4 linked regions of the Tribolium castaneum genome follow. The protein of the gene in region 4 purifies or fractionates together with the protein of the main gene of each other region. This does not show direct contact. Links are inferred from orthologs where the notes say so. Each region holds a gene or a part of one and is shown on either strand. Other genes may lie near its edges.

Region 1 (5,365 bases), on a different chromosome or scaffold from region 4:
GGTTGTTGTTTAATTGGGCTTGTTGGTGCTTTAATTGCTTTTTTTGTAATAATTATGGGGCGTTTGGGGTTTTATAGAGTTCCTATATTGGGAGAGTTGGGACACTGAATGTCAATTTTCGAAATTTTGTTTTATATACGTCGGTTGGAATGTGTAAAAAAAACAAATTGGGATAGAAATCAGTGGTGTTACACTTGAAATTTGGCGAAAAGTCAAATAAATTTGTCAAAAAATGTTTCCATTTTTCGTCGACTAACTGCGTTTAGAAATGGTTTAGACTGGCAGTCGTCGTCAATTCACTGTTTTTTTTATATGAACTCCACATTTTAAAAGAGATTTCTTTGTAAGTACAAGAATTTTACGTCTAAACTCTTCATCATAAACATTTTTTCCTTAACTTTAAGAAATGGTAATCATCGATGAAAGAGAGAGAAATTGAACCTTTCCAGCCAAGTTTTACATTTTTATTAACAAGCTTTTGGAAAAGTTGAGCGTCTAAATAATGTTATGTACAAAATCTATGAGATTTTGGGAATTTGTCTATGTATTTACAAAATACGTAGGTACTTGAACCCAAAATTGGTTCTAATTTTTAGGAAAGTTGAACCTGTCGCTGCTTGGCCGCTTTTAGCATCTACGTGAACTTTAGATTCTGTTTCAAATTGTAAAGTTATTGGGAATTCACGATTTTGTTACGTTTTTCATACGAGAACACCTTCAATATCATTTTTTAGAAAATTTAAAAAGACGACAGGGAATATGAAGGGTTTTTGATGACCAATTTTTGGGAAGAGATGTTTTACTAAAAATTGTGACTGAAAGAAAAGCATTTTTAGCATTGAAGTATGTTTTAAGTTATGTATTTAATATTAAAATAAATATTGAAAAATTTCAGAAATGTGAACGTTAATATTGGTAGGTAATATCTACGTTTCCTACGTCCCTGGTTAAATTTGACGTAAAATTATGTCATTTTATGCATTTGACAAAAATTATAACCTTGAAATTATTTTCGACATAAACCTTTGACATAAGTTACTAACAAAAATTTTAATAAAAAAGGATAGAAATATATACCCTATCCACATAATACAAAATTGGCTCGGTTTGACGTTCAGTGTCCCAACTCTCCCAATAAAGGAACTCTAGGGTTTTATTGACGTTGCGAGGAGAATCGATTGTTGGCAGTTTGCGGGCCAAGTGGAGTTTCTCATGGGGTCATGAAAAATTGAAGGGTTTTGCTTTTTTTAAAGGGGGCTTACGTGGTCGACGTTGATCTCTCCTTTGTACATGAACTCGACCAAGCACTTAATATCTACATATTTGACATCTTTCATGATGAGGATGGGGTCTTTTTCTTCGTACTGGGACAGGATGGTTTCGAAGTAGGTGCTGCAGGCGGAGAGGACGATCTTGTGGGCCTTGATGGTGCGCCCCTCGCAGGCCAAGGTGACGTCGCAGAAGGCCTCCTTCTCGAGGAGCTGCGAGAACATGGTCTGCAAGTTCGAATGGTGGTACCTCCATCTTAGACAATACTGTTGAGGCAGCATTTTTGGTTATGTTCGTCCAGCTTCCTTCCGACTGTTCGCGTTGGAGATGACGAATTTACCAAAAAGTAATGAGTCACCAGCGTGAGACCTTCGAAATAATCAATACTCGTCGGTTTTGGGGCCTTTGGGCGAGCGTTTGTTTTTTAAATCACCACCACTTCACTGGCACGGCACAACGCATCCGCAAGTCGACTGTTTTTGCGAGGTTTAACAATACAAAGTCCGGCCGAGGATTTCTCAAAAATTTGGAGACGCGTATGTAAATGTTCAGTCATTTGGAAAATTCCGACAAAAAATGTGTCCCTTAGTTTTTTATGAGTCAGTGAGCCAATAGAAACCACGTAAGACCCCTATAAACCATGTATAGTCCGTATATTCGCCGGGCCAAGCCTTTAAGGCAAATCAATACCGCACGTCTTAAAAAATTCTCGCGTAAAAAATCTTGGGAATTGTCGAGGTTTTTCGTCACACACAAATATTTGTCGAGAGCAACGGCTTTTCAGCCTAACTAACGGCACCAAACTCGACTAACGCAGATCCAAAACGGGGTCAAAAATTAAACCGACACAGACTCGGACTGTACTGTAATTAGGCCTTTCATATTTATTTTTATAAACTTGAGATTTTTCAGAGCCTGGGAAAGAAAGAGAAAATCTATCAACTGTTCAAGTTCAACGATCGGTCGTCGCGCCGATTTCGCACAAATTCACCGATTCTTTCACGATTTTCGCACACAAAACACCAGCACGGACATTGCACGGCTATTTAGGCGGTTTCCGCGGCACAACATCGTACATTTACTAAGATTTCCGGACCGAACTTGATAATCTCTCTCTCTCATGGAATTTTTTGGAAAAAAATTTAGACAGAGATAGCAAAACGCTATGTAAAGAAAACAGAAATATTTCTTTTGTGGAAGAAATCGTAAAAACTTGCCGTTGGCTACACTGAACTCACCAGGCGGTTTTGGTTACTTTTTTTGCGACAAATGTCAACTTGACGTTACGTTTTGAACCGATAGCAGTGATAACATGTAAACAAACGTTTTTTACGAATTAACTTGCACAAATACTCATTTTTGCTCAATTTTTAGCACCATGTCCGACGATGAGGACGCGCCTTACGTGAAAAAAACCAAAAATATTCACTACGGCTCGTTGGAGGAAGCGGAAAGAGCTAGGTTAGCAGCCGGCGATGGGAACGATGATAGCAATGAAAAGGCCGAAAGCACGTCGGCGAACCCGCCACAGGTTCACATTTCCACAGGTATTACTTTGGCATCCGTAATTTCGTCCAAATGCCAAAACCTCGCACACAAATGAGCTAAAGCTCAAGTCAACATCAGTTTAATGTAGCGCTAAAATATTCACGAAAAATCTAGTACAAGTGGTACATTATATATTTCTTATTCCTTAATGGAGCCTCGTGGCTCAAAACCCAGGTTCTGTTTTTTGTAATTTCTGTAAAACCAAATTTTGAGTCATGGAATCAAAGTTTTTTATTAGAATACTTAAAATCTTATTATTTATTTATTTATACAGGGTGAGTCAGTCATGAGTTAGTTCTGAAATCTGATGCAACCAGTAAAACTAATTCCACCTGTCCAGTTGTATTCCATTTTTTGAGTATATTGTTAACTTTATCTTAACAGTTTTGCCACTGATTTTGCTAAAACTCCTTTATGAACTACTATTTTTTCAAAAATAAAAAACCGAGTAATTTACCCTGGTATCTTTATTACATGAGAGTATTAAGAGTAAAATTTATCGTTGTAACTGATCGTTTAAATGAATTTCATCGTAATTTATCTCAAAAAAAGCTGGTAAGCAGAAGGTTAAAGTCTCAACATTGTAGCCAATATTTTCTCCAAATTCTTGTGATAAATTTTTTGCCAGTCGACATTTAGTGACATTTGAAGCGCTCAAGAGTGGCTTATTAACGGCCCAGTCAATAACTAGGTTCACATATTGACTCGAGTTGCTTTGTCATGCGAAATAATATGATTACAGATTTTTAAAAAAATATAAAACCTGAGTGATTCAGGAAAAAATCAGGTTTAATACAGCGATTAACTTGCACTTTGGCTTTGAAACTGACAGCCGCGGTGTTATTAAATCAAATGCTTTATTGCGCTATTAAATAAATAATTCGTATTAGAACTCCTTTAATGCCATAAATGCACAATAATATTAAATTGAAAAAAGTTGTGCCATAGGCCCCAGCTTTATATAATTTTTGCTTTTTAAAAAGAACAGTTTGTAGGTGTACCTACGAATGGTAAATAAAAAAAATGTTTATATAACAGCAATTATCACACAATTATTAAAAATGCGTGCTTAGGTGCCTGTTTTTATGTTAAAATCTTTCACTTGAATCTAATAAATACTGTTACGTTTAATTTATTCAGAATACATGGAGCTTGAGGACGCCATGTCCCGCGACAAGCAAGCCCTCTTGGAGGAATTCGAGCGTCGTCGTAAAGCGCGCTCTATTAACGTCTCCACCGATGACGCCGAAGTGAAACGAAACCTTCGCCAATTGGGAGAACCGATCTGTCTATTCGGGGAAGGACCGGCAGATCGGCGTTCACGCCTCCGTGAAATACTAAGTCGTATCGGTGAAGACGCAGTCATTCGACGCGAAGCCGAAGAAGAACGTAAAAATTTCGAAAAAGATCTCGAAACAACGTGGTATCATGAAGGCCCCGAAAGTTTGCGAATAGCCAGATTATGGATAGCGCACTATTCACTGCCGCGGGCCAAAGCCCGGCTTGAGGAAGCCAGAAAAGCGAAGGATTTATCAACGGCTACTAGAACAGCCAAGAAGCAGGAAATACAGAAAAAACTCCAGATTATGTCGATTTATTCGAGTCAGATTGGCGATTCGAGACCTATTGCCTATTGCCAGTTTAGTCCAGATTCGAAACTTTTAGCCACAGCTGGATGGTAATTATCATTTAATAAGTGAAATGAAATTATTTGTTTGATTCAAGGAGCGGGTTGTGTAAAGTGTGGTCAGTGCCCGACTGCACACTCAAACAGACCCTGAAAGGTCACGCCTGTAATGCCAGTGCTATTATTTTCCACCCTAGAGCAACAATCAGCCAGGAGGAAAATATTTGCAATATGGCATCGTGTGCAGCCGATGGTTCAGTAAAATTGTGGGATTTTCAAAGCGAGGAACCGATCGCTGATATCGAGGGCCATATGCCACATCGTGTCTCCCGGTTGGGCTTTCATCCCTCTGGAAGGTTTCTCGGGACTTGTTGCTTTGACTGTTCCTGGAGATTGTGGGATTTGCAGCAATGCACCGAAGTTTTACACCAGGAAGGACACGTCAAACCTGTCTATTGTATTTCCTTCCAGATTGATGGATCGGTCTGTGCCACAGGGTAAATACTTTTGGTAAATTGTGACAAATAATTAATTTCCCAACAGTGGTTTAGACTCATTTGGACGTGTGTGGGACTTGAGGACCGGAAGATGCATCATGTTCATGGAGAGTCACTTAAAGGCGGTTCTAGGGATAGATTTTTCCCCTGATGGCTACCACATTGCCACGTCTAGCGAAGACAACACTTGCAAAATTTGGGATTTGCGCAAACGTTCCGTCTTGTACACAATCCCAGCTCATACGAATTTAATTTCGGAGGTGAAGTTTCAAAGGGACGGCGGCGATTACCTAATTACTTCATCGTACGATAACACGGCGAAATTGTGGACAAATCGGACCTGGCAACCGTTGAAGACCCTGTCAGGTCACGACGGTAAAATCATGTCAGTTGACATCTCCCCCGATAATCAGTACATAGCCAC
Region 2 (5,183 bases), about 1.2 Mb from region 4:
TCACACCGCTATGCGGCTCGCTTTTATACGCCCATTACTGCACAACTGGACCGCCAAAACCACCAATTAAAAACAAAAATAACAAAAACAAAACCCGATAAATCACACGATCCAATTGTACAGCAAATTGATTCAAAAATAAAATTAACAATAAAAGAAAAAATACAAAATTAAATTAAACTGACTTAACGACTAACGGACTGCGACCCCCACAAAGACAAATAACACACCTGTGCCTTCCACCACGTCTATATCTATTACAGTCTCTTGCATAATGCCCCCTGTCTCCACATTCGTAACAACGGTCGTCGGGATGGAAAGGCCTCCCACGAGATCGAGGCGGGGGACCTCTATAACGGCCGCTTCCGCTCTTCCCGTTCGACATCTCCACACGAGCCCTGCGGCCGCAAATGGTACGACCATCTGCAAAAATTTGGCTCATTAGACTCTTTTACTGATTTGAGATTACTTATAAGTGAAATTGTTGGTTGGAAAATTGGCACATGACGAAAAATTTTGTTTTTGTTTCGTTTATGTCACTTATTGAGATTTCCATGTTGAAACATGGTTAAAATTTTTAGTTTTAGGAATTGTTGACGCACATCTGTCCTTTCAAAGCATTATTATTAAACACCTGAGAAAATGTATCGCTACTTGAGTCTAAAAATATAATCCAGAGATTCTGATAAAAACAGGTTGCACGTAAGCACACTGTTATGAGCATAAGTTAGCTTCACGCAACACAAATTGAATAAAAAATCATAGATTAGGTAAATGTACACCGAGGGAATGAAATAAAAGAAGCGAGAGAACAAAGCACTCTCCTATGGTCTGCTATAAAAACATGCTAGTGTATTTTTTTAGAATTTTGCCAATTTCTTTTAACTAAAATCAATTAGTTAATGTTAAGGGACTGAATAAATATACACTGACGCTCAAAAAATTCGGGACACCTCCAAAATTTCTGTTGTGGTGCATGCAAAATTATCACAACTTTTAAATTGTGTTTTGCCAAGAAACATCTTAGCAGTGAGTAGAGTAGTTCCTATATTGCTATTAAAAAAAAGACAAAAAAAAAATCCAAATTTAAGACTAATAACAGGGTGTTACAACCAAGAGCTCTTATAACGTTTTTTAAACGATATGGGTTGCTTAGGATGGGTGTGAGAACTATTCTTGAGGAATTTGAACAAACTTATCATCCATAAAAAAAATTCGACAATGAATGGTGCATGTGATTCTATACATTCGAGGATATACCTATGTGGTGATATTGTCCAGTTTTCAACAAACACCAAATCGGTATGGGTTTCTAAAGATATACCTGCGCAGATCATGCAATATTACTGCTTTATTAAATCCAGCTCTGGATGATATGCAGTATTGATTGAATGGTTTGTTCGGACTTTGCCACAAGTTTTCCAGACCGTCTGGTGATGGACTAAATCTAGTCTCATCTGTAAAGAGTACGTTCTTACATTCTCAACTCACATACTGGTGTACTAATTTAAGTTGTGACCTTTGATAGGCTACCATTAATTTAGGGTCTGCTGCTGGTCATTTAGAAATCATTTAGCTTCCTTGAGTCACCTCCGAACAGCTGGAGGTGAAATTTTTACTTTTACTTTTTACGAACGTCAGCAGCTAATCGTCCAGCAAGGATGGTTGATGACAATCCACTGAGTCACATTGTTATCTGATAAGCAGTCTTGAATAACAAAATACAATTTAAACCAAAAACAACCTGATAAATAAAAATTAAAAATAATTAAATTAATTAAGTAGCTACTTTAAATTAAAAAAATAGTGTCCGGATTTTTTTAACGGCTGTGTATACATTATTATTTCTCTTATAATTCTTGAAAGAAAGGATGCTTAAATGTTGTTTTGTGCAAAAGTAATAGTACTAAAAACAGTGTAGAAAAATCCAAATGCGTCAAATGTTTGTGACCCGTATGTACTTTAATGAAACTCATTAAGGTACAGATTTCGTTTTAAGACTTCTATGTACATATTTTCAGATTTCTTCCCCAAATTTCAAAAACTATAAGAGGTATTGAACTTGTCCCGGTTTTTGTTTCCATCTCCAAGCTGTTTTCCTTTTTCTTGTTCAAATTTAACTACATTTGTTTCAAATAAATCAAAAACTACCAACACCATCTTCTTTTATTACATAAATTTGCGTAAATTTGCTTGTAGGAATTTTAACACTGACATTTCCGGTTGATTTAAAAAAATTTAGGTTGGTCAAACTGGGCACAATTACTTTGGCTAACCTGCTTACCAGTATCGCCAAATTAAAATTCAGTAATAAAAATACTGAACAAAAACCTTCACCTTTAATGCAATTTATAAAAAAGCTAGAAGAGTGGGTAAAATCGATAGGAGCAGGTTGTGCGTTCCCCACACTAACAACATGGAGGACGCCTACACGCCCATTTACCTCAAACACCCCTTTACCAATTTCGCAAAGCAAATACATACCCAGCCCCCTTATTGCATCTTCTGCATCCCTGGCGTCCTCAAACTCGACAAATGCGAACCCCGGCGGATTCCTGGCCACCCACACGTTCCTCAAAGGCCCATAATATCTGAACGCGTCCTCCAACTCTTGCTTGGAGGCGCTATTTCCCAAATCACCAACGTAAACTTTACAATCGGAGCCGTACCGTGACATTTCCACAACTGGAAGAAAATCAAAATGAACTTTATCGATCGCCAAGGACGCGCCCGGTGTTTGTTTACATCCACAACAAATCAATCACATAACCACAAATACCTACCTCTAACGCCACTTCCACCACTTCCAGAACACGTAACTCTTAATTACTCAAGGCAAGATAATAATTATCACTTTTATTTTGGAGTTTTTGATTATTTCTTTGAGATTTTCAGCGCGAGCAACATGGAGCTTCGGCAAACATTTTTTCCAAATTGCCAACCAATAGGAACGCGAGGATTTGTTGATCAACGGCGCTACCAACATTGGGGCGAAAACGGCGCGAGTTTTAAAATGTGAAAGTCATTAGATAACCACGAAACAACAGCCGTTATCTGGCGACCTTACACAAATAAAGGAGGACTTTTCAAGCATGTAATAATTTAATCTCCGCTCCGGTCGTGCGATAAAACAATCTGACCTCTAGTTGACTGCAATTATCATTTTTGATTGGAGTTATTATTAAGAGACTGGGAAAACCTTTGGCATTATTATAACTAGCGTAAGTCCTTTCGCAATTTTAATTAAATAATTATACCAATCACTATCACAATACGGGGTGTTTGTGTTAAATTATGTTCAAACCCTTCTATCCATTTTTACTCATTAACTTAGGTTTAAGGTTAAGTAGGTGAGCGTGAGGACGTTGTTTTGACCTTACCCAGCGATTAATTTACATTTGTTTTCATTCAGAACCATGGAGGTCAATTACACCACCCTATCCATCGAAAAGAAGTCTCTAGATAGGCCCCCCTTGGAGGAACTGGCCAAAGGTTTGTTTGACCCCCTTAATAACAACAGTACTAATTTCCTGTCCACAGTTTTAAACAAAGGACTGCAAAGCAATTTTGAACACGTCACTGTCGAAGTCGTGGATTGTCCCGACCTGACACAACAACCTTTTACTTTGGCCAAAAAAGGTGGTCCAAAAACCCCTCTCTACTTTAATTGAATCAAATTTTAGGACTTGGTGGAAGTCCAAAACTGGTCGAAGTCGGGGGAGTCCCCTACTTGCTCCCTCTGGTGAAGCGGGAAAAAGTATACGATTTGAAAAAAATAGCCACAATGATTGGTTCAGATCCGGCGTTTATAATCGGGGCTGGAGCCGGTCCTCACCCCTACGCAGGGGTCAATTGCGAAGTAATAGACTTGCTTTTTAACAACTTGATTTATCCCACGATTTTAGGGTATTTTAAACATGAATATAGCCAAAGGGGTGGTGGATCAACAAACGCGCATTTCTAAAGTTAATCCCTCGAATGAGGAAGTGCCTATACAGGAGATTCTCCCTAATAACGAAACCAGAGTTGCCCTCTTGGCTAATCTTTTTTTCAGCAGCGGCGAGCCGGGAAAGGTAAAACGAACACATTAATATACAAAACAGTCCAGTCGCATAAGCCTTGAATTTTTGTTATAAGTTACTATGGGGTATTTAAAAATGTTTAGTCAAAGAGGAGGGGTTGAAGAAACGAAAATAAAGTGTTTTATAAAGATTATTCCAAATCGGTAAGAGCTAGAAAAAAAGTTTTAAATAAAAATTGTTAAGCAAAACAATTTACATGAAAAAGTCCTCTAGTCTTTTTTTGATATTATTCACATTAACAGAGGGTGATTAAGTGTAAAGGGTTGAAATGTACAATTTTAAAGAAACTATTAAAAACGCTTGATTGTTATGTAAAATCTTCTGTTAAATTCGAATCCGAAGGTCGTTTTTGGATTTAAAATTGTTTTTGTTACCAAAAGAAATTTTTAGCGAAACATTTACAAAAATCGAAAACTGGACACCTTTTGCGTTTATATCCTTGTATTTTCCTTCTGGATAAAGCACGAAGCTTATTTTTTTTTGCAACAGATTTCACAATAAATGCAGATTTTTACGTAGTTACACAAAGATGAATTTTGATAAAGGGAAACCGAAAAAATTACATTTTCTTGTAACGTCGCTGCATGTTTGTATGGTGAAATTTCGAGATGTGAAAAAGTTTTTTATTTTAAAATGAAGCTATGCTTCAAATAAGTTTTTGGTGCAAGAATCATTAGTTACTGCAATTTACAAAATGCGCTCGAGGTAAAATCGAAGCATATTTCCTTATGAAACGAAGTCACCGCCTTTGAAAACATTTCGAGAGCTAAAAATGGTAAATAATTAAAAAATTAATAAATGACATGCCAAAAGAATAGTTTGGAATGAATTAAAATTTCGTAATTAAGTTCTATTGAGTCCACTTTTTGGCTTTTTTATAAGAAATGTTCTTTCGACTATTTTGATATTATTAATCAAATTAACAGAGTTAGGGCGGTTAAAAGTAAAGGAATACAGTAAAACCTCTCAACAGTGGACATGGGGACTCTTTAATTATTCGTTATGGAGAGGTGTTACCTAATGGGAGGTGGGCAGTTTTATTATAGGAAAATGTTTTTTTAATGAACTGAACTGAACAAAAGTATATATTTGATCTACTAA
Region 3 (5,288 bases), about 1.2 Mb from region 4:
TATTCATTCTAACGACACACGACTCGAGGGGAAGTGTTGGACATCTAAGTTTCACGAGTCGCGTTTCGTTTCCGTGTGAACCACAGTTTTGTTTATAAGAGTGTGCCGTGTATATTTTTATCAATTCCGTCATTTTGTATTTCGATTTACTTTCATATTAAATATACTTTTATTAGAAGTCTCAAGTATCTTATCCCGAAGTTCCAACATTAAGTCAGAAACACACTTAGGTCGAGTTGTATAAAAAATTTCAGGATTAAACCCATAGCCATTGTTATGAGAATAATTGTTAGGGATTTAAATCAGGACTAAAGATGATACAACTCGACCTTAGAAATGTAATCACATTTTTTTTAAGCCAAAGATACAAAATTCAAAATATAACATTATATTTTGAATTTTGTATATATAACATTATATTTTGAATTTTGTATAATCTATTTTCAACTATCAACATCATTTAAACAAGGATAAGATTATAAAGCAATAATAGATAAAGGAGAATTACCAAAGTTTCAATAAGTTTATTTCTCAATTTGAAATCTGAATGTGATAATTAGAACGTAAGAGTTTCAAGGAGATGAACCATTTTTTGATAATGAATAATGTGTTTTCCACTGTCAATGTAAGTCCTAGAGATTTTCTTTTTGCAAGAACGTTTAATTTATTACTAATAATATAAATATTAATATATTATTCTTCAAAATATTTACAACTTTTAGATGCAAAGTATAAGACTGAATATTTATTTTCATTGAGTTTTAAGTTAACATTACTGCAATGTTTGGCTATTCTTTTTAGATCATTGTTTATTTGATTCCATTCAGTATCATGGTAATCGATTTTGTTTGAAAAATAAATAAATAAAAATTAGTATAAAACGCGAAGAGGAGGAATGCAGTACAGAATTACAGACGAAACCGCTTTTTTTTCAAATTGAAAGCCGTTTGGTTTTTAAAAACCCGTGAAAATTTAACTCAATTCAATGTTACTACTGCATTTTTGTCTCTATTTTTTTTAAACTTATTTTGACATAAGTTATAATACGGAAGCTTTAATACATTATATTTAACAATAATCACTAGACTAGTAAAAAAACGATTGATGGACTTATCTCATTATTGCACTGAATAAATGTCCACAAATTTTCGGTGTTATAACAACTGTTACTGTTTAATGACATTAAAATAAATCAATCGATTACAAAACCAGTTATTGCATTTGAAAGAGAAAATTTTATAGCATACGTTTCTATATTTTTCTCAAAAAGACTAAAACTGGAGTTATTTCGTTAAAACATCGAACACCCCAATTAAAAAAAGGATTGGGCCCAAAACTGAGCACTGGGGTACACCTGAAGTTATGTGTTTCGCTTATTCGTTACAACTTATTGATACCGGTCTTGTAAGTATCAAGAGAATAATAAAACTGCATTTTCATCAAACCCATAGAAAACTTTTTGCAAAGAAGATTGTGATCTCTAGTATGTTATCAAAATCTAATGAAACTATAATGCTGCTTCAACAGTAGATTGGCTAACAATATTGTGTAATTTTCAATGTAAGAAATATTTTCAATACTAGAAAAATTTAATACAAGAAAAACCAAACTTACATCAGCGAAGTTCATTCTATTGGCATGTTTCCTGAACTCAGTCATCGCATATCTCTCTTTCATTTTGCGGACTCTTTTCCCGCCCCTTTTCTTCTTGGACTGGTCGATAGGTTTCGGCAGCGGCTTGATAAACTTAACTGGGGGTGGTTCCAACAACTTGTCCAGTTTTCGTTCAATTTCGTCGCGTAATTGCCGCCCAATACGTCCGTCTTTACTCTCATGACACGAGTCCACACGTGCTGCTAGCGTGCATTTAGTGGCAACAAGTCTGGCAGCCTTCCTTCTCAAATCAGGCGGAGTATTTTGCACGATATCTGCGTAATAAACGAAACCAGTGTGCGGCAACATATTCACTTGTGAAAATCCAGACAATGCCTTCTTCTGTTGGCCCAACAATTGCACGTTACAGGCCGGAATTTTGGACAATCGGGTCAAACCCCCGGCAACCCCCATGAGCTTGGCGGCGATCGAAGCCCCAAGAATCGCCGACAAGTTGGGGGCGATGAAAGCCATCCGACTCTCAACGTATTCGTAAATTTTCAGTTTGAAGTTGTTCAAGTCTATGGCCATGTCGCAAGCTTCGTCGATTTGTTTCTTTTCGACGTCCGTTAGGAGAATCCCCTGTGTCGTGGATGCCGTGACTGAGACAACCATGATAGTTGCCTGCGTTAGGAATTGTTGCAAAATTTCATTATTTTTGGCTTGGTCTAAGTCATTCCCGAGCTCTTTGACGGTCTTCAAGTACTCCAAAGGACCAACAACAAGGGAGTCCAACTCGGGGAACCGCTTCTGGTACTTGTCGCGCACAAATTTATGGACAGTGGCTTCAATAAAACAGATTAGTTTCAACTGATTTGGTTAAAATCGTAACTCTTACCAATTTCCGCGTCTATATCTGCAGCAATGTTGTTAGCTTCGACGATCAGTTGATACTCAGGGTCCAACTCAACTGGTCCTATGATGTCGTGGTATTTTCGGCTCTTCTTCACATGGTCTTCGATTTGTTTCAATATTTCATGTAAATGGGGCGAGTCCCGTAATTTACACAACTCTCGGACTGAAGTTATTTGAGTTGTGTCTACCTCTAACTGGATGTCTTTAACGTCGGGTTTTTCTTCTTTGATGTCCGGTTTTTCATCAACTTCCATCGCTTCTTCCAAATCATCTTGATCGTTTTCTTCCAAATCAGCCAATAATTCGTCGGCCAAAGACATTTTAGCGAGTTAAAAACGTAACTCCAAAACGTTCACACAACACTTGGAAGTGAGGTTAGAAAAATGCAGTTTACAAATTGACAAGTGTCCATAGATTACTTGTAATGTGGGGCTGAATTACTGGTTGTCTATAATAATCTGCTTATTAATTTGGGGATAATGAAAAAAAACAATATAATTATTAATTAGTGAAGGGACGGAATATAGTCCGTGAAAGAGTACTTTTCCGGACACATATATCACTAAAAAAACAGTTGTTATTGTAGTTTCAAGCCATGTTATTTAAATAAAAAAAACTTTTTTTTTATTTTAGTCAACTTTTTGGTAAAAACTATAACTATAAGAACATAAGAGCAAACTTGCTTCGCCAAAAGCTCTTTTAAATACCATTTTAAATTAGAATATTAAGATAGTTGTTTTTAAAAATAAACAAAAATAAATGGAAAAAAGCATACAAATAAAAATAAAAAGGAGTCAGAGGACGCCAAAGCACCAACTAATTTTAATAAAACCGGATTGAATAAAACTGTATGCCGAAGAAAAGAAATAAAACTTTTTGACTACAAACGAACACCTTATATTCATCTTAACGAAGTTGTGGTAGATGACAGAAATATTTAAAAAATTTACTTTCTTATTAAATTTTGGATCAAGTTGTGTCTTCTTTTTAAAAACGATGCATTTGTATTTGTGAATAACTTCAATTTTTTAAGAAGATTTAGACAGCAAAAAATTGTAAAGACTTACACGTAAAGCTTAAAAATGGTTTCCGATTTATTTAACGGAATTAACGCTTTAAGATTCATTTTTTAGAAAATAATTGCAAAAACCCACAAAATATATTAGAAAATCTTTTAATAAATAATTTAATTCCTATTCATTACCCGTTTTCTATTCAACAGGGAAGCGATCATTTTTAAAATTAAAAATTATTTGGCATCTACGATAGTTCAATGCTTCAAATCGAAGCAATTTATCTGTTATCTTATTATAATAAACTACCAACCGACTTTTTAAAATTCTGATCTAGTTATCCATGACAGATACGTCATCAATGAAACATTTTGCATAAATAACTTTAGCATCGCTTTATTTGTCAATATGTCTAAAATGTTCACCGAAGAACCAAAAAAAATATGTTGGAATCTTATTTCCGTAATGGAGATCGGGTTAACGTAACTGTCACGGATAACTAGACCAATATTTTAGAAAATCACACAGTATTAATTTGTTTGAATATAAAGTTACAGTATAGTTACACAATTTGTAAATTTGGGTTAAAAAAGTACAGTTTTTTAAAAAACTCTTCAGGTTTTGGGATATACGAAAATGTTTATTATGTCATTTTAATACATACATTTTATGTCAAACTTAAAATTCTTCTAATAAATAAATATTTGTTCCTTTATTTATTGAACCTAGTCAGTAATCAGTTAATCACAATCACCACAAATCTCTATTACTTCTTAATTTGAATAAGTATAGAAATGTAAAATAGTTATTAACGATTCGATCTCTCATTGAAAGTATAAATTACATTAGTTATAATTTTGAGAGAAAATGCGACGTTGGCGTTTTTATAATTTTGAAATAGCTAATATATACCTTTTATGAACAGATAACAAATAAAATAGCACTTCTCGTGGCGGCCCTGAGTAAATGAACAAAATACCAATACCAATACAAACAATATGTTTCGAAACAAAACTTTGGAAAAGGTTACTTTCTAAAAACTAACCTGCTATTTAAATAAAACTGTAAGATCATCTCTGAATAAGCTCATAAAATCTGAGAAAAACTTAATCAACAATGCAAAAACAAAAGCGAATTACGGTATAAAATATAGCGTGGGCGTGAAAATATCCATAAATTATACACATTTCTTATGAATATTTAATAAAAAGGAAAAAATATAAATAAAAACATTGGCCGCAGTTAATGAACAAATTGACAACAATCACGACTTAAAACATTAGTTCAAGTAGTGTTGAAGGCCATTATTATTATTATGCAATTCCACAAAATATTAACAAATTCTCTGATAACTGACGAAATAATAAAATTTTCCAAAAAGTCAAAAGCATTATTACTACCTACTACCTCCAGCTTAAAATTGTACCAGGTAATGGATGTCAATACAGCTAATAGTTTTTTTTTAATTTCACTAAATTGTGAGACCAAGTAAGACCTTTTTAATAATCATTTAAAATCTAGTTAAAAGTTTTGCCCAAGAAAGGATACCTCTTACCAAAATCAGTTATTTTATAACCTACTTATAGTTAAATAAACTATGGAAAAAATGTAGTAACAAAGTTCGATATAGTTTAAATTTCTTAAAAATCATACTTTATCTTATTCCAAAACTAATACAAAGAATGCGAATTCACCGGAAAAAACTTGATTTTCCCAAGAGTTTAAAAATCAACTAAAGACTTAGCTAGAGGCGACAGAGTAACGGGA
Region 4 (6,198 bases):
CCGATTTATATCCTCGTCTTGGAGGCTGTTGAGATTGAGGGGGTCGTTGATGTTGCCCCCGAGGAGGAATTTGGTCGGAGGCACCGGCTTCATGTCCATCATCAGGCCACAGCCGGAGAAACTTTTCGAGCGTTTGCGGCCGGAGCGGTCATGTTTCGACTTGCGTTTCGAGTTGGTGTTGTTGTGATGGGGGCGGTAATTGTTGTGGGGTTTTGACGGGGGTTCGAGGACCATGCCGGTCGATGACATTTTTCCTAAGCAAATATGGCGTTAGATGGTGCCTGGTTGGCCGTGACAAACGATACTCAATTGTCACAGACCGGTTATTCAACCAAAATAAACAAAAACCGCTGTTCTAAATGCACTTTTCTAAATATATTGTGGGTCATGGTCTGATTGGATAAATCGCGTTACAAAATTAATTAAATCACAAAGATCGCGCGCGTTTCTTTGTGTTTCGGATGAGTAAACTTTCTATTTTAACATCATCCGTGAAAATATTTCAGAATTTTCAACTAACGCTCGTAGATTAAAAGAGAAAGTTTCGATAACGGAAAAACAATTTTTAGTTACTTAGTGTAAAAATTGAATTATTGTTTTGGATTGTATGGTTTTTGTGAAAATACATAATTCAGGCGGGTTTATTTACAATGCAGCTGAAAAATTCCACAAACAAGATGTCGAGATAAAAGTTACGTCAAGACAACACAAAGAGGTTTTACGATGTTTACATTCTTACTAGCCCATTTACTGAAATTATTAAATTTGTCGATATTATTTTGCATAAAAATAGACTGAATTATAAATTTACGACGACGTCACCATCCACCTACGTAATACGAGACGAGACGAAAAAATCTGATTTGTCGATAAATTCAAAAAAGAAAATTAAATATTTAAAATGGCGATGCATGTTTAAAATTAGACAGATTCAATTAATTCAATTATTATTAGTTTTTTATTTCTATGGATCGTGAAACATGATCATTGAATGTTGAAAATGCGTCAGCATTGAATCATTGAAGCTTAAATTAATAAATAAAGGTTGTGCTAACACACCTTGTAATTTATTTGTTTACGAATTTTAGAACACCTATATTTGGGCGGAAATGCAATAGTGATGACAAGAACCGAAAAGTGTAACTAGGTCAAGGTCATCTTTTTCAACTATTAATTGTTGACTTAAAAAGTAAAACATACCAAAAATGTCTTCTTGCAAACCAAAATAAAAATATACAATATTTATTCAACATAATAAAATTGTTTTTGATTATCAGTATGTATTATAAACCCTAAGCCATGTCAACTTTTATGCAACGATTCAAGTTAATTTAAATTTAACTAAATTAATTAACTTATAAGGAAATGTAAAGGTAAAGGTGTTTCAAGGCAAAGATTCTTCTTAGTTTTTTTTAAATGTTGTCTAGTAGGTATTTCGTCTTTTGCAATTATTTAAAACCTTCTTCCTAATAAGACAATATTATTACTTAAGTTCTAGCTGTAAAGACAAATTAGTTAGAAAAAAATGGCCATTTTACATTTTTTTGTAATTTTGCAGTAAGCGAAGGGTTACACCGTTGTTTTTACCAACACCATGTATAAATATTTTACCCAAAAAAAATCTATCGTAATATTTCATTTATTTCAACCACTTGCAAGCAATTTAATTATTATCTCTTAAAATCAACTGAAAACTTAATTTAATTTATTTTTTTCAGAATTTTTCTACAATTCCTTAAGCAATTATAGGCCGGTTTATAGAAAACTTCATTAATTTCTAATTCGTTGTTAAAACTTAACAACGCGAATAAACTAATCACAGGCGAATAGACTAATCACATTGGTTCAATTTGGTCACGTGATCTGTTAATCAGTGAAATTAATGACGCTTCTATAAACCGGTCCTAAAATTTATGAATTATTAATTATTATTAACTGTTATTTTTTGTGTCATCTGAAAACAAGCAATACTTAAATGTTGTCCTGTGATAAAAATCCATAAAAAATGTCGCTAGCCCCAAAAATAATAAATAAAGTTATAAATTCAAAATTTAAATAAACGTAATTTTAGGGCTACCAAAATTTATTTTATAAGAATTTTTGCTCGAAAACATTTAGACATCGTTGTTTTAGAATAACACTAAGGGTCGGTTTATAGAAAGCTTTATTAAAATATAATTCTTTGGGCGCATTTACCAGGTTTATAGAAAGCTCAATTAAAGTTAACTGCCTTGTTAAAAGTTAACAACGCGAATGGACCAACCAAATTGCTTTAATTTGGTCATGTGATCAGTTAATCACGCATTTAATTGTGGATTAAAATAATGACGATTCCATAAACCAACCCCATTTTTTTAATTTCATTATATTAATACAAATTTAATAAATTAACTTAACGGTAATTCAAAATTACCGGACAATCTCTCGGGTGCGGATAAAGGACATCAAAGAGAATTAAAAATTCCTATGACAAAAATTGTTTTAGCCTTTTTCCACGAGCTATAACTACTCAAAGTAGAATTTTTCAGTTAAGTTTTTGGTGATTCAGATTACATGTTTTTTGACGTTTTGCGTAAACGACAAAAAAATCAAAAATTAATGTCATATGATGTACAAAACAATTAAAAAACTCGCAAATTCGCTAATAAATAAAATTCGACATCATAGGAAACAAAAGAGCAAAAATCGATACACCTGCTAAAGAAAACAAATTAAAAAATATATAAAAAAATGACTTCTTAGAAAAAATATTTAACTTCATTTTTGTCCTTAATTGAATGTCTTTTATCACCATACGAGAGTTTGTCCGACACTTTTGAATCACCTTGTAAAGAAGAGTAAAAAAATTTGGAAAAATTTCACATACATAGCAAAAAACTTAATAGGCCGGTTTATAGAAAGCTCCCTTAAATTTTAATTCGTTGTTAAAAGTTAACAACGTGAATAGACCAATCATTTGTTCACGTGATCAGTTGATCACGCATTTAATTGCGAATTAGATTATTGACGCTTCTATAAACCGTCACTATGTATTTAACAGTGAATACTGAATGCGGTGCGACCATTAGTTTCTGAGAATAGTGAAACATACTTTTAGCAGACTCACCCCGTATATACTCAACTATTTCTTGGTTTCGGCACGGTTTGAAGCTTGGCTATATTTTCAATATGCAAAATGTCAGTTGTAACAAGATCTAACGTGTTGGCAACGAAGTAATCATATATTATATGCCTGGATTTTTTATCAATGAAATATGTAAAAATAAATAACCCACACGCAATATCAACGATAAAAGATTCTTATTACAAAAAAAGTAACAACAAAACTGCCATTATTCATGCAAACATGCATTTTTGTCAAACAGCCAAATTACAAATTAATTACAAATATCTGGGTGTAATGTAAGTATATTGACAGAAGATAGCGATTAAATTCGACTTAGGTGACTTGATGATAGACATTTTATAAATACTCTGTATTCTTGTACAAGCCGTTGCGTGTATTCTGATTTTTCGGTCGCACTTCGGTTACAGTTGTCTAAGATCAAGGATTTGACTATTTCTAATTTAATCCGTCAACACATTAAATATTTATGACCAATCTAAATGCACCAATAACTGCAATAAATTATTCTTATCGTAATCGGTATAATACACAACACCTCAAATAAATCAGATAATTAATTACCATCGATTAAATTAATTAAACTAAAAATGTGACGTTAAATTCCGGCCGGAGCGTATAATAAACGTCCGGATTCCCGCAATTTGATAACAAACCCGCGAAAGCAGTGTTCAATTAGGAACCTTCCCACTGAGCAAACTCCCGACTAAATAACCCTCTCCGAAGTTCACCTCAGCGGTGGCCCTTCTAAATTTACGAAAATTTCGAAAAAGCCCGGCACCCCAAGTTCCCGCAAAAAATCGGCACTGCGCACGCGCACACCGGAACAAACATGTATGCCACTGCGGAGATCGACGTTGGCTATCGTTTTGGGCGAAAACTCCTCACAGATTACATAAATGTCAAAAAATTTACCTTCAACGTGTCCGGCGTGGCTTCAGCTTTCGTTTGATGCCCTTTGAGGGCCACTTTTCCCTTAGGTTCCGCTGAAAAACGGCCGAAAAAGAGACTTCACTTTGCAACGCACCGTCTGAACGACTACAAATCGTTGTGCTTGTAAACTAGACTCCATTTTAATATCAGTGCCGGAGTTTGCCGAAGCGGAGCCGATGAGGGACGATGGGCGATTTAGCGAGGAGTTGAAAAGTGTTATGTTCCTAATTATGTAATTTTCGGGTAATTGGGGAGGTAACCGAAAGGTATTGCGGATGATTGCGTTTTTTCGACGTTCTAAATTCGCGACCTAATTAACCGGAATTGATTATTTGAAAATGTGTCGATACGGTCCTGGAGTTTTATTGGCGCAAATGATCATAAATTCGAACCACTTATAATTATTGGGAAATAATTAGTTTTTCCTGCTGAAGGAGTGGCTGAATTCACAATTGGAAACATTCTTGAAAAGTTTTGTTTATAGTCTGTTGTAACACCTGCTTCGAATGCACTTCGTAAATATTTTTGGACAATATATTTGTATTTTATTTTTGGATGACGTGCCAAAATTGCTTGTCTTCCGTTGTACAAAGTGTGTTATTTATTAGTCATATTTATAGGATCTCGATGTGATGTTTACCTTATTACTCCAATGCGAAAATAGATATTTAAGTTTGAATGCAGCTTTATAGTTTATGAAACCATCTTCTGTATCTTTTCGATCGGACTTTTTATGCTTTATCTAGTAGTAATTTTTATTTGCAAAATTATGACATGTTAAAGGTGAAAATGGCAAATAGTCTTAAAAAATTTGGTTTGTATCTTTAGGTATACTAGAAACATAAATAATTGTCGACCTTGAAATAAATTTTTATCAGGTTATTAGTTTTTAGACGTTTTACGAGCGGTAACTGGACAACTGGCGAAATATCTATAACCACAAAGTCAGTTTTTCTTTTCATAATTTTATCTCTTTCAAGAAATATACAGGCTGCTCCAAAACTGGTGCACCAGCTCACTGGTAAAATGTTGGAAAGCATGTGTAGATCATATGAAAAATCTTGAAAAAATTCCTAGTCATATTCAAAAAAATATGAAGCTACAAACTTAGTTTACTGACTTCTTCAGTTTTCATTATTTTTTAATGTTTCTATGTTTCACACTAAGTAATCGTTCCCCAACGTAATGAATAATTATTTTAAAAATTACTATCTGACTTTAGCAGTTCCTTGGATTTAAAAAAATAAAATTTATCCAAAAATCACAATTTGTAGATGTGCCAACATTGGGATTTCCTATGAAACCACTTCAAAAGTTATTCATTTTTATTGTTGATCGGGATCTATTGCGATCTCGATTGTTAGACAACGTTGCCACAATCATTTCTTTAAAGTTTGTTATTTACCAATTAAAAAAAAATATTTTTACCTTTTTATGAAAGCATTTCTCTACCGCGTAGCATTGAGTTGGTGCGGCTGTTGTTGAGCACCCGGTACAAGGTGTTAAAATAATAATGTAAGATATTTAAGGAGGTGATATGGTATGGACTAAACTAAACAAAAAGGTCTTTTCTAATAGAACATACACTTTTGACAGCTTTTTCAAGGGTGCACAAAATGCTGCTTGGCAATGTTTCATAAATTGTTTCAAAAGGTGTTCAAATACTTTCAAAATTTGGAACATGTTTTTAAGAACAAAATCTTATCTTTGAATCAGACGAGTGGTTTGGTTAATATTTTGTCTAGCCACCTATTTTTCAGAATTGAATAATCTAATAGTAATTGTAATACAAAAAACGTGTGTTAAAGTGTCATTTTTTATCTTGAGGTAATTTTTTACTCATAGTTGAAAGATCACTTTAAAAATACCCATGTGCATTTTACATTTATTAACAATGCGTTGACAAATAAGTAAGATATTACGCTCGAAATTTTTAGATAAAACACTCTGTATACGTGTATCACATTTTTGCCTATTTCTCATTTTCCTATTTTTTATGCTTTTCTTTCAACAAATACGTTTTTCAACTAAAACATAAAAAAACAACGTTGAATTTGCTTTCTACCTTGATTTTTAACCTTTTTTATAACTCAGATTTTCCTAAAAAAAGACATGAAATTTTATAAAAAATGAGTCGATTT

Evidence for each region. Proteins that work in one complex are often made in the same cells at the same time.
Region 1: the proteins of 7SK snRNA methylphosphate capping enzyme bin3 (region 4) and U4-U6-60K purify together in Homo sapiens (affinity purification with mass spectrometry; 4 studies listed by BioGRID and IntAct, with this or other methods). This does not show direct contact. The link is inferred for Tribolium castaneum from reciprocal best matches to the Homo sapiens genes MEPCE and PRPF4.
Region 2: the proteins of 7SK snRNA methylphosphate capping enzyme bin3 (region 4) and serine/arginine-rich splicing factor 7 purify together in Homo sapiens (affinity purification with mass spectrometry; 3 studies listed by BioGRID and IntAct, with this or other methods). This does not show direct contact. The link is inferred for Tribolium castaneum from reciprocal best matches to the Homo sapiens genes MEPCE and SRSF3.
Region 3: the proteins of 7SK snRNA methylphosphate capping enzyme bin3 (region 4) and Prp31 purify together in Homo sapiens (affinity purification with mass spectrometry; 3 studies listed by BioGRID and IntAct, counting the BioPlex papers as one, with this or other methods). This does not show direct contact. The link is inferred for Tribolium castaneum from reciprocal best matches to the Homo sapiens genes MEPCE and PRPF31.

Annotation. Positions count from the first base shown.
Region 1 is NC_087397.1:1,344,178-1,349,542, forward strand, and holds the start of U4-U6-60K (U4/U6 small nuclear ribonucleoprotein Prp4), read left to right. Parts: upstream 1-2,442; 5' UTR 2,443-2,583; intron 2,584-2,643; 5' UTR 2,644-2,647; coding exon 2,648-2,816; intron 2,817-3,957; coding exon 3,958-4,495; intron 4,496-4,542; coding exon 4,543-4,941; intron 4,942-4,987; coding exon 4,988-5,365. Other genes in the region: zinc finger protein 131, read right to left, coding at 1,263-1,550. UniProt on the Homo sapiens protein: Plays a role in pre-mRNA splicing as component of the U4/U6-U5 tri-snRNP complex that is involved in spliceosome assembly, and as component of the precatalytic spliceosome (spliceosome B complex).
Region 2 is NC_087395.1:18,120,920-18,126,102, reverse strand, and holds the start of serine/arginine-rich splicing factor 7, read right to left. Parts: upstream 2,924-5,183; 5' UTR 2,784-2,923; intron 2,686-2,783; 5' UTR 2,678-2,685; coding exon 2,485-2,677; intron 424-2,484; coding exon 231-423; intron 1-230. Other genes in the region: ester hydrolase C11orf54 homolog, read left to right, coding at 3,295-3,350, 3,413-3,492, 3,541-3,639, 3,684-3,859, 3,906-4,073. UniProt on the Homo sapiens protein: Splicing factor, which binds the consensus motif 5'-C[ACU][AU]C[ACU][AC]C-3' within pre-mRNA and promotes specific exons inclusion during alternative splicing.
Region 3 is NC_087395.1:18,106,429-18,111,716, reverse strand, and holds the start of Prp31 (U4/U6 small nuclear ribonucleoprotein Prp31), read right to left. Parts: upstream 2,924-5,288; 5' UTR 2,829-2,923; coding exon 2,492-2,828; intron 2,439-2,491; coding exon 1,615-2,438; intron 1-1,614. UniProt on the Homo sapiens protein: Involved in pre-mRNA splicing as component of the spliceosome. Required for the assembly of the U4/U5/U6 tri-snRNP complex, one of the building blocks of the spliceosome.
Region 4 is NC_087395.1:19,349,719-19,355,916, forward strand, and holds the start of 7SK snRNA methylphosphate capping enzyme bin3, read right to left. Parts: upstream 4,195-6,198; 5' UTR 4,040-4,194; intron 255-4,039; 5' UTR 250-254; coding exon 1-249. UniProt on the Homo sapiens protein: S-adenosyl-L-methionine-dependent methyltransferase that adds a methylphosphate cap at the 5'-end of 7SK snRNA (7SK RNA), leading to stabilize it.